Linked DNA regions of Drosophila melanogaster. The gene in region 1 interacts genetically with each later gene. Each region holds a gene or a part of one and is shown on either strand. Other genes may lie near its edges.

Evidence for each region.
Region 2: of stwl (region 1) and pum, changing one suppresses a phenotype caused by changing the other (phenotypic suppression), as found in Drosophila melanogaster (one study listed by BioGRID).

What each region holds. Positions count from the first base shown.
Region 1 is NT_037436.4:14,403,773-14,411,988, reverse strand, and holds the start of stwl (stonewall), read left to right. Parts: upstream 1-2,049; 5' UTR 2,050-2,226; coding exon 2,227-2,374; intron 2,375-3,142; exon of another isoform or gene 3,143-3,209; coding exon of another isoform or gene 3,210-3,243; intron 3,244-5,151; coding exon 5,152-8,117; 3' UTR 8,118-8,216. Other genes in the region: CG3919 (uncharacterized protein), read right to left, coding at 179-489, 717-894.
Region 2 is NT_033777.3:9,233,968-9,238,993, reverse strand, and holds the start of pum (pumilio), read left to right. Parts: upstream 1-1,968; 5' UTR 1,969-2,184; intron 2,185-4,329; 5' UTR 4,330-5,026. Other genes in the region: D1 chromosomal protein, read left to right, coding at 1-475. UniProt on the Drosophila melanogaster protein: Sequence-specific RNA-binding protein that acts as a post-transcriptional repressor by binding the 3'-UTR of mRNA targets.

The DNA.
Region 1 (8,216 bases):
TTCAGCTTTGAAATAAAAACGGGCACACAGTATAAAACTAAGCTAATTTGCACAGCTTTAACTTTTGACCAAAAATATAGCATACATCATTTTTTTACTTTAAAGTATAGTTCATAACGCTAAACAAGGTTGTAATAATTTAAGGCCTCAGCAAAATGCATCTGAGTATTGCTCCCACCTCAACGTCCGTCGCCGATGCAGGGTCGGTGCTGTGACGGCTCTGCGCATGCTCCGAATTCAGAAAGCTCGGGGAGTGCACCATCTCGAGGATTGCCTCTACGGGAGTTTCGGGATCCCCTTCGTCGTGCTCCTCCTGTCCCTTGGGTCTTGACCTACGACCTCTGAGCGGAACGGGCACTCCGGGAGTGATGTGCTTTTGCAGGAACTTCAGCTCGCTGTTAAGATAGTACGTATTCGCACCGTGATGCAACTTTATTGAGCGGGCATAGCTGGAGCGAATGTTGCGCCAACGTTCCTTGCAGCTTTTAACTGAAATGATCAATAGCAGTCAATAAGATTGTAAGATAATATTATATAATATTTATATAATATAAATTGTAAGATTTTATAAGAGATTATATTTTATTTTATATTATGTATCGACATAGTAAAATCGTGCTTATAAAAATATAAACATCTCCTAATGAAATGTAAATTTAATAATTAAAGTAAATTTAGTTAATATGCAATATGTCGAAATATAGATAAAAACCCACCCGAATTTCGCATCTCATTGGATATTTCCTTCCACGCATTTTTCACAGTCGATTTCCGCAAGTAGTTGTCATCGTGACGATCGTAAAGACAAGGATGTAGTTTCACCAAATGACATATTTTGGCATTGATGGCGTAAACGTTCGGTGGTGGAGCTATGGACCGACGGCGTGTATTCATTTCATATATAAAAACTAAATATGCAAATTTAATTAATTAATATAATTAATAGAGTTAAAGTAGAAGACCCGAAATCGAATCTGAAACATGTGTCGCCTGACCGTGCAACAGCTGTTTGCCGCTACTTTGCTTCTCTGCTCCGCTTTCAACAACAGTTATTTTCTCTGAAACCAGATCTTTCGTTTAAACTTACGTGAATTAGGTTTAAAAATGCTCCAATTAATCGATGTCAGTGCTTTTATCACGAGTTTTGGCTTATTAAGTTCGGGCTCAAGCCGCTCGTTGCTTCCGTGCACGCGGCAGTTGTTGGCGTGGACGCCGGAGTTGCTGCTATTACAAGTGTTTAGCAACTTTGAACACTGCGATTTCGTGCTGCTGCCAACAAGTGATGCAGTTGTAAATGAATGTTGCAATTTCAAATAGCAATTGTTCTTGATTTTAAAGCACATGAGCACTAGACTGATTCGAATTGGACATTTGAATCTTTAACGGGCGGAGAATATAAAACACCGGCAAAATAAATAAAGAAAGGAGCCACAACAAACGGAAAGCCAGAGGCGTAGTCATTCTCTTCGCAAATCAGCGGGGGTTACCATTCGAGCAGCATACAACCCTCTCTGAGAGAGAATTGACATGCCACTGGATCTCACACATACAATGAAAGGCACACTCACTCAAAGTAGACAGCACTGCCAGACTTAATGCAATAGTATAGCAGTTGGTGTTGGCAGTGCCATTTGATCGCTGGAGGTGCTGCCAACGCATTTACCAATTAATTAATGACCACCCCTAAATGTTGTAAATTATAAAAATTATTCAAGAATATTACGATTTTGGTTAAATTAATGTACAAAATAAAATATTTCATATTTGTATTGGCTGTCAAATGAAGTTATTTTATTTTAAGATAAATGCTAACAAATCTTAGAGAAACTGGAAAACAAGGTTGAGCGGTTTTGAGAATTATGAACAACGCGTAAAAAACATTATTTATAAACGTAAAAAAATATTATAGTCTAGCCCGACAGGTAAAAAATAAATTTATCCGGGGCCACCTTGGTCAACCCTCGTCAACGACCGTTCGGCCTGCCAACTCGCTTTTCCCTGCAACGCAAGGCGCCGCTCTCTGCTCACACTCTCACTTGGCTGTGTGTGTGTGCTCAATACTCGCTTTTAGTTTTCGCTGCAGTCGGTCGCCGTTTTTAGTCTCAGCTGCTGCGCGCGTGTGTTGTGATTGTGTGAATTGCGTTTGCGTTTGTAGCATAACACAAAACCGATAAATTCCTGGCGAAGCGAGCTCTCTCGATTGGATTCTTGCAAAGTGAACTAGCGATGAGCGCCGCCTCTGAGGTGAACCTGATGTTGCTGCGGTCAGTGGAGAAGCAGACTGCGCTTTATGATCGTACCGACGAAAACTATAGGAAGCGCCTGCCGAGTGAGAACGCCTGGGACATGGTTGCCTCCGAAGTTGGAGAGTCGGGTGAGTCGTGAGTGCGAGCGGGATAGCAATCGACGTTGCGTAGTTTTCTGCCAGTGCTGCACAGCGTCAACGCGCGCACAACAGTCAGTCGTCCCCGAATTATCGGCCGTCGATAGTTGTGTGCGAGTTGGCAGCGCCATGTATGCCATCACAAAGCAGCTGGCATCGATTAATTCGAATATAACGAGTCTCCTGTTGAATGCGTAGTCGTTTGGGATGAAATTGCTTCTTGCTGTGACATAATTTTTGTAAATAGCTGGAAAGTAATTTATATTAGTTATTTGGCAACTGCAATAATTGCATGGTAAAAACTAAACAAAGTTATTTCGTTTGTTGTTATTATTATTTTTTTAATTTAACATTTTATAATTTATAATTCTCCAACAAGCTTGTTATTTCATATTAAAAAAATGTCTTATTTGAATATTACATTATTTTAGAAGGATTTAAAAATAAATAAATTAAATACAGAAAAACCAAAATATGACAAATAATAATATCTAGTCTATTCAGTAGCCAAATCCATTTCATTTAATTCTTATTAGCTTTATAAATTTTTTTTAAATGATTTGAATCCTTCTGCACGTTTTGGTAACACTGGTAACACTAATCGCCCATTAGCTGAGTAAAATTTAACCTTAGAAAATTGGTATATTGTATTATATTGGTATATTATGAGTGGGTAGTTCCATTTATCCATGCATCTCTGATTTTGTTGTCGGTGTATATCGATTGACCCATATATATTTCCCTGGAAAGATCTTTTGGCCAAACTTTTCGAGCAGTACAATATAAGTTGGCTCTTTTTCATTTGAGAACTGAAAAAATATTGCCAATGATGGGGGACTTCTTATTCGAGAATTCTTGCTGTAAGTTTTATTTATATATCGCAAAAGAAAGAAAAATCCTTTTTAGTGTACATATGTACATACACACGTGCATGTACATATTTAAGTATGATTCTCAATTTGATTGCGATTATTTCCACGTGGTTTCTGACACCTTTTACTAAACTTTACACGATTCCTTAACACAACTATTTTTTAAGTAATGTGTTTGGATATCAGATAAAGGGTGTTTCAGCAATGTCTACAGGTTTTGTTAACTAACAAATTAAAACGTATCTTAGAAGTTTGGGCGTCGGAAACCTGCACGCCTTATAAATATGTATGATATGTACATCCATGTACGTTCCCATGTATGTATGTCGGAAATCTGCATATATATATATTTATATAAATATATATGGTCATGTATGGTCATGCAGATAAATGGACGCTTCTAATTTGTATACCCCTTACTCGTAGATTTAAAGGGTATACGTTGGAAGGGATTCGTTGCAAAGTATGTATGCAACTGGTATGAAGGTCGATCTCAGGAACTATAGAAACAAAAAGGTTCAAATTAAACATATAGATTAAAGGGACTTAGACGCAGCGAAAGTTTGTTTTTTCATAATTTTTAATTAGTTTTGTAAATTTATATTGACTTTTTGAACAGTTTTTTTAAAATTTTCTCATTTGACTCCCCAATATCTATCTATATGCCATATCTATATGCATTATAAAGCTTCCCACTTCCATTATTCATTCTCTTATTATTTGTTTTTGTGGTGATTTATTGCACTGTAAATTAATTTTTTGCAAAAATGCTTTGTCTTAAAAATATAAAGTAATTTCCTACAATTTTTCTTGTATATGTTATAGCTGATATTATTTTATCACTTTAAAAAATTGTTATGTTTGGCTAGAAAAAAGCTTATTTTTTATGACCCGATTTTTATTTGAACTATCCTTATGCAAGGACAAGAATTGAAATGGCACCGAACACAAAATTTCATGTGTCAGTTTTGTCAGATTTTGGCCGCGGTAATTGAAAATAACCTTCCGCAGCGTAGTTAGTTACATACTGTTACAAACCATATTAATCGGCGAGTATAAAGGCAGATAACTAAGAAGCAGTTTTGGCACGTAGAAGCTAAGAATTTCTTGTCTATTACTCCAAATCAATTTTGCCACTTCCTCCAATGGAAAGAGCCATACGAATTTGATCAATTAAAAAATAATATGGAAATATCTAATACCGAAGACCATATTTAGACCATTAAGACCATTAATTAGCTAATCATTTTCCGACTGTTGGTATTGAAAATATAGTTTTTCGATTTTAATAAATGTAATCCAAAATTTATATATATTTCCAAGATCTAGTGTATTCTTATTAAAAACAAGTAATGTGCCATCCGGGTTGTAGGACCCGTGATTCAGGGTTCGCGGTGCGTACTGGATGCCCCGATTTTGTGACTAGCAGTTACACACTGCAGTGCTTTTATTTTTATTTTTAAAAATTTACATACATGTATAGCTTAATTATTAAATACTGCTACCTTCAGGCAGCTAAAAAATTATATATAAACTGCAGTGCATGTACTCGCCACCGAATACTCATTTATACTCATTTAGATATTCATACATAGCATACTTTCAAGCGAAACTTGCATTTACGGAACCATGTACAATGTTGGTTTTTTGAAATTAAAAATAATTTAACTAGTGTCTCTTCCCATTATTAATAAGCATTCCTGAGCTCTTATTACCTGTTCATGTAAAATGCACACAAAGTTTTATGAGCTAAGATTAAAGTGGAATTTTCCGGGCAATCAGGGGGTGTTATGCTATTGAGAAGTAAAGGTTGGGCCGCTACCTGTTGCCTGATATATATTACGTATCATATCTTCTTACCTAGCCTTATCATTTCCCTCTTGTTCCCTCTTGCAGTGGAAAAATGCAAGCGACGCTGGCGTCAGCTGCGAAATGACTATACCCGCTGGTGCAACGCCGACGCCAACCGGCGACGAAATGGCCAGCGTCGTTTGGCTTATCCGCTGGCCGATGAGCTGCGCTTTTTGGACCGCCATCTAAACATAGCTGACGACATGGCTGCCGACGATGACCGCAGCGTATCATCGGACAAGGACAGGGATAACAATAGAGACAGCGAGGGCGTGGATCATCATGCTCAGGCGTCATTAAAAGAACGCGCATCATCGACAAGCAAGTTAGTTAAGGAGGTCAAGCTGGCAAGTCAAGTTCGTAAGGAAAAATCGTCCCAAGACAAGAGAGAAAATTGGGAAAATCCTGGAGATAAACAGCGATCTAGGAAGAAAAGTGCTGAAGAGAAGCTGAATGATTTGGAGGAATCGGACGAACCAGAGAAGGTTCCTGAACTCGATAGTTTTCTGCAGTCTGATAATGAAGACGACGAGTGCATGGACGAGGAGCACCTAGAAGATCTGGAAGGTTTCGATTTTGACTTGGAACAATCGAATCAGGAAAAGGAGTTAACGCCGGAGAAGTCTCTAGAGAAGAATAACACCGACTCAACTGTTAGCCAGCCGGAGTTCTTTGTCAAGCAAACCAGAGATCCTCGTTTGCTAATTATTGGCAGAAAGAATTCGACGTCTTCGTTTGCTGAATCCAAGGCTTCAAAATCTATTTCCGGGGATCCTCTGGAAACGGCTATGGAAGATAGTGGCGATGAATATGGTAGGGATGGTGAAAAACGCGTCACAGGCAGCGACACTACTTCTCCAACCCGACGTCCACGTCGCGCAGCCCGTGCATCAATAAGTTTCGCTGGCATAAGGGATTTACCGATCCAGAAACCAGGCCAAGCACAACGAATGACGCGATTGCAGCGCAGGAAATCTATGAGTTTAGCGGCTGTACACAGTGTAAGGAGCTCCACATCGCCTGTGAAAATGACTCCAGTCCCCAGGTCTCAGCCGATCAACAAGCCGCCATCCGGGCCAGTCCAGATCACGAAAATCAGTCATCGGGATGACATCTTCCCGAGACCTGCGGTGCCATCTGGAGTTGTGAATATAAATCAAAACCAACTCAAGACTCAACAACAGCAGAAGACGCTGATCTTTCCGACGACCGATGAAGCGATCGCTAACCCGCAGGGATCTGGTCCACCACAAAGGAGGTCCGTGGGTAGGCCGCCCAAGAAGCTACCTATGGTGCAGCGAATAGTTGCGCCGGAAACGCAGACCAAGCCACAGTCGCCCATAAACACCAAAGTCCTGACCATTGGCAAGCCCACCAGCTCCGTCGCGAGTGGTAACATAAATAATATTGCTATCAAAAGCAACGTCGTTACTAGCATAAGCAGCAGCACCGCTACTACTAATACCATTACCAAAGGTACCAGTAACAACAGCATCAAAACTACTGAAAACGTTAATGTAATAAGCTACAGTCCGAATTCATCTAGCACCAGCAGCAGCAGCAAGGCCACCACTGGTGCCTCTGGTGCGGTGATAACTAATATACCCACAACCACCACAGCTGGAACATCCGTTCCGGTCGGAAAGAGTATAACCCAATTGAAAATGACTGAGCGAGGCACTCAAACCGGAGTCCAGAATCCTTTCTCCGATAATTACTTTCTCGAAATGATCAAGCCCCAGATGCAGGAAATGAACCCCCGTCAGAAGATGCACTTTAAGAAGAAAGTATTCCAAGCGCTGATGGAAACCTTTGATGATGCTACCGATTTCCCAACGTCTAAAGAACTGCAGCATTTTAATATAAACACTCCTTCAGGATTTGAGCACATTACAGATCCGGAACTTCGATTGGTCAGGGAGCTAGTCAGCATGGTGAGCGCGGCTAAGGTTACCCTAATTAGACCGCCAGGAGAAGCTACAGCTATAGCTACAGCTTCCCGCAGTGGAATTGCTCCTGAGGTACAGCGAGGACCCCGAACAAATATGACACGCCAAGTCATTCAGAGGGTATACAAGCCAGGCACTGGACAAGAGATCGCCCCCACCAGCCCGGCGGGTGGACTAGATAAGAGGTTGTTCAGGTTAGCGGCTATGGGTGGTAAACCGAATGGCAACTTGAGTGCCACTCAGGAAATTTTGCGCAAGGATAGTGTTGACAGTAACCATAGTGTGGTCAAGGTGGCCAACCACGCCCCAACAGGCAGTCCCAAAGGAGCTGCTGTAGTGGCTGCTATAAGGCCGCAGGGTTCATTGATCAACAGTTTCTTTGGACAAGGCAATGGACCGACGACGGCCAAGGGAGCTGCCTCCGAGAATATCCGCGCCATGTCCAGGAGGTATTCCGTGTGCGGTAGCAGCAATCCACCCAATGCCCAAAACGCTAGCCAAGGTTCCGCCAATGGCAGCACCATAAACTCCAATGCTAGCGCTATGGAAGCGTCTATGCTTAAGCGGCGATTGATAGCAGCTGGGCATGGAATGGTGCCACCTACCCAACGCCCTCGGTATTCTGCCGTAGGTGCTAGTCAAATGACCACTGCATCGCAAGGCAGCAGTTTACTAGTGAGGAAGTCTGTGGGCTGCGTTCCTGCTTACCAAAAGCAAATCTCACCCACTGGCGGTGCCTCCCTGCTTCAGAAAACTCCGCAGATTGCCAGTGTGCAAGGATCTGCCTTCAATGACTTTGCCCAGCCCAAGCCCGCTGCAACGGCCTCTGTAAACGGCGAAGAAAGTTCGCCTACCTCGGCGCTGAAGCGCAGCTTGGTGGTGGCTAATACCAAAACCTCCTTTCAGGACCTTCTTCAGCAGGCCAGTCAGACGGTGCAGAGAAATAAAATTGAATCCTCGGAGACAGCAGCCACTATTGCTGCGGATGATTTTTCGCTGGACAACCTTAAGCGAGAGCCAGTGGATCCCGCGGAGGATCACAATGACATACTCGGTGTTTAAGACCAGGCCAAAGAAATTTCCGAGTATTGATTAAAGAGTAAAGAATTAAGACAGATTCATTAAATCGTAAATAACACGTTGAAAAATTGTTAAGCTATC
Region 2 (5,026 bases), on another chromosome or scaffold:
CGGTCGTCCACCACAGAACAAGTCGGGTAGCGGTGGCAGTACTGGCTACGTACCCACCGGTCGTCCGCGCGGTCGTCCAAAGGCCAATGCTGCACCCGTCGAGAAGCACGAGGACAATGACGACGATCAGGACGATGAGAACTCCGGGGAGGAGGAACACAGCTCGCCTGAGAAGACGGTAGTGGCGCCGAAGAAACGTGGACGTCCCTCTCTTGCCGCTGGCAAGGTGTCCAAAGAGGAAACAACAAAGCCCCGTAGTCGCCCAGCGAAAAATATTGATGACGATGCAGATGATGCTGATTCCGCCGATCAGGGCCAACACAACTCCAAGAAGGAGTCGAACGACGAGGACCGTGCCGTGGATGGGACACCAACCAAAGGAGATGGCCTCAAATGGAACTCCGATGGCGAAAATGATGCCAACGACGGTTATGTTTCGGATAACTACAACGATTCCGAATCGGTAGCTGCCTAAAACATACAATTTATAAACATTTCCACACACCCCTCCCCAAAAATCAACACAAAAAAAAAAGAATGTTGTAAAAGCAAAAAAAAAAAAACGAAAAAAAATCTGCAAGTAAGAGAAGAAAACACAAAAATGGATAGGACCTACTTGGACTTTAGAGAACCTTCCCCTCCTAAAACAACACACTTTGTCTACATATATATTCCGATTTATTGCTGAGAAATCGGACAAACCGTTTACAACTGCACTGCACTGTAATGACGACACATAGCTCGGAAAACGATTTCAACTTGGATTGAAATTACCAAATAAATAACACATAAATAACATATTTGGGGAAGATTTCAAGTTCCGAAGTAGAACTGAACTTTATTGTAACAACAAATTTGATTTGATTGCAGAAATTTCAATCGTATACAAGTTTAAATAAACCTACTATACCTAAAAAAATTTTGTGTAATTTAGTTTTTATATATATCATTTAACATATATTATCTATTGATATAAACCAGATGGAAAAATATGTAAATCCATGGTTGTATTGATTCTTTATATACAGTGTTCACTGTACTTTACATTATATGGTCACTCTGAAGAAAGTGAAGTTATAAACGGTAATTGTTGTAATGCTATTTTAACAACATTAAAACTAGGGCAACTAGTTAAATGCATTATAGAACATAAAAATCAATTAATTTCTCTAATGGGATAGTAAATGAAATTATAACTTACATATAGTAGTATGCTAAATTTTTGGTATCTTAGAACTATTGGAGAGTGTTTCTCAGTGCGCTTCGCAATGGTATATTTGAACGGTCGAGCTGCGGTCACACTAAATGTTCGCGCGTAAGAAGAAGCAGACCTAGAACGGCGTGCTTGTAATATGTAAATTTTTCAAATAAGCTAAGGTGTGAGTACCCAACAGCTATAAAATATGAAAAGTATTTTAAAACTGCCAGCCTTATGCTGATAGTTCGACAGCATTGTTTACATTTCCAATCGGCGGTAAATCACAATCAAATTTGCGGCTGCGAAAAAAGATCACAAATTGATAAAAAAAAAAGCCGCAAACAAAAACAAAACAAACACCCTGGTGCGTGTGTATGTATGCGCGAGTGTTGGTCTGTGAATGTGTGTGCTCAAGTGTGTGTTTGTGTGCGACTGGCGTCTGATCAAATTTGGCATGCCCCTAAAATCGATTGATAAATAATATATAAACAATTTGGCTGGGGCAGCGTAATTCATTTGCCAGGGTGAATATAAAAAAGGGGGTGATGATAAAAGAACAAGAAAATGTGTAATCAATTTATATAAATATTTTGCGCGCATGTTAATAAAAGTAAAATAAATTGTCGGTCTTTTGCGCTCGCACCCCCGCTCTTGCTCTCTCTCGCACTCTGTGGGCATGCTCACTCGTTCTCTCTGTTGATTTCGCACGTTTGCCAACACTGCTCTCATTTTGGGGGGTTCTTGTTCTCTCCTCTCTCTCTAGCTCTTTGTTGTAGTTGTATTTGGCCAGTGTGTCTTTGCATTTCGCTTTTATTATCGTTCTGCGACGGACGGCGGCGACGTTGAAGAAATTCCTGGCCGATTTCTTCTTCATCATCCTGTGTAAATAATTGTAATTTAAATAATCTAAATTTCGTATTTAACGAAAGCACACACACCATCAAATCAATGGAAATGCAAACGAGAAGGCTTTTTTAAGTGCATGTGTAAGTGTTTCAAAAAAGGAAATGAACAAAAAAAAACAGCTAAAAACCGTAAAGTACTCCTGTTTCGTTTTACATTGTCATCATCGGGTTTCCTTTTCCATTTCGGCGGCATGAGTGTATGTGTGCATTTCCAGACCGCTTTTTGTACATATGCAAACATGTATAAATAGTTTGCGAAATTAATTCGTATTTTGCCCGAAAAAGGTAAAAATCAATTAAGTGTGTGCCTGAATAATTTATATGATTCCTTTCTTTTTGTTTGGTTGGTGAACAAATTTTTCCGATTGTGCGTATGTGTGCGAATGTGTGTGTTTCATTATTTCCTTATACCATCGTGTTCTTCCTTTTGAGCGGTGGCCATTTGGCTGCTCTGCTTCTTCCTTCTCCCCGCGTCCCCCCGCCAAACCATTCAGCTCCCTCTTACGTGTGTGTGTGTGCTCTCTCGCTCTTTCTCTCTCTCGGGACGCCTTGCAATTGTATATATGTGCTTTTCCCAATAAGAACGCCTAACTACCAACTAAAATATTAAACAATTCAAATGGTTTTAATTCCTAATTACTTATTGGCCGCACCTCCTTTGTTTTGTCCGCCATCTCTTTTATGGTTTATCTTTATGTTTGTTTTTATATATACCCCCCTCCCCTAGAAGTGTGGGTGTGTGCGAGCTTCCAGGGGCACAGCATTCGCGTTCTCTCTCTTCCTTTTCGCATGCTGCACTTGTCTCTCCTTTTTTGGGGGGCTTCTTGGGAGGCACGAAAGGACCGAAAGGGAGAAATGGAGATATAATTCTCGTAAACAACCCAAAAACAAAAAAAAAAATAATAAAATAAAAGACCGACCCACTCGCATTCTTTTCGCTGAAAACGTAACCTCAAATGTTTGCGGCCGCCTTTCGCCTTCGTCTTCGTTTCGTTTTCTTCGCCATTCGTTCTGTCGCATTCGCTCATCGTCTGCCGGCATCGTTCTTGTTGTTGTTCTTGCTCCTCTGTGTGTATGTTAATTTTATATGTTTTCCATTTTCGACCGCCCCACCACCCCCCGCTATACGTCTTTCCGTGTGCTTTCCGCGGGAGGCGCTATAACAATAATTCTGTTCACAAGTTTTCCAGATATGTATAAATTCTTAGATGTTAAACAAGCCGCTATACGTCTTTCCGTGTGCTTTCCGCGGGAGGCGCTATAACAATAATTCTGTTCACAAGTTTTCCAGATATGTATAAATTCTTAGATGTTAAACAAGCCGATCTACAATGTAACCAGATTTTAAAAAGGGATTTTGTTTCTGTTTTCATTGGATTCCATATTTTGTACAATGGATATTATTATAATCCCAAACTATTATAGAATTTCATGTTAAAAGAGTAAAACAGGATTTGAATAATCAGATCTAAAGATCATTTTCATAATGTTGAAATGCAATGGTCCTAATGGTGATTTATAAAATTTCGTTAAAACCTTTTTGGAACTGCAACATAAACGCCATTGTTATCGTGTGCCAACTTTTTGTTACGGTTGCTAAGCACTTACGAATAGATAAAGTCTGAAAAGTTATGTATTGATAGTCACTGATAAAACTAGCCTGCATCGTAATTTATTAAGAGTATTAATCCAATCGGTCTTCAAAGAAACCAAATTATATTTTCCGTATTTTTCGAGCATGATTCAGCGCTGCGTTGTTCTTCTATGGATAGTCTGCTTCTGCGACTTGTTCTTGGGGCTCCTGTTCCTCAAACGTAAACGCAACGCACACACTCCCCCCCCCCCCCCGCAATTCACCACTTATCGGCATCTACTTTGTTATTGTTTTCGTAATGGGGAAATCATGGCTAATATTTGCCTTAGTCGTCTTTCAGTTTTAGAAGAAATTGTTTTGCTTTTACGCGTGCCTTGTGCGTTTTATTTTGTTGATTATTATTATGTGCCCTGTCTGCTGTCTGTGTTATCGGAATCTTTTCTTTACCATGACCAGCTCAAAGTTTTTAATCGCACAAAAGTACAGTGGTTCGAGTGTCGTATTGAATTGGGAATAAAAACTAGCATCATATAAAAAGTTATTTGATTCGAAATCGATAATTTCTCAACAATTTATTTCCAAAAACTACTGCGTTTACTAATCACAGTTTACACTTTAATTTCTCATTGCAGTTTGTGTATATTTTCATCATTAAAACGTCGTGTAAATTAAAATTCATCCTAATTATAATTAATAAACTACATTAATAAACGGAAATTCCACAATTCTCAACAAGAAATCTGTAAAAATTCAAGTTTTAACCAATTCTCATACGTAATTAAATAAATAAAGTTCAGTTTTGTTAAGTCCCAAAAACAACAGCTGTGCAACTGTGTAAAATATTATTCATAATTTTGTGTAAATTTATGTAAAAAAAAAAAAAAAAACAAACCAACCACGACAACCAAACCAAACGAAGCAAATTCAATTTTTTTGATCAAAAAGTGTGTGAAAAATCTCAGCAAAGCCTGTAAAATAAATATTAAATATATTAAGCAAAAAGTGTGGTTTCTTTTACAACAAAATAAATAAAAGCAAAAAACAAGTGTAAATCTGAAGCGAAAATTAAAAAAAAATTATATGTAACATTTGTGAATATTTCCGAGCGAATAGTGTTGCAAAACGCGCGTGTGGTTCTTTGTGCTGCAAGTTAAAATACAATTCAAGTTGGCAATACGCGCAAAATTGTCAGCTGCGATAGCTAGGAAAAGCCTCCAAAATTGAGCTCCTAACCGCGCCCACAATTGCCATATCGACGCCCTCGCCGCAGCAGCAACACCAACAGCAGCAGCAGCAGCAGCAGCAGCAACTCTATCAGCAACATCAACA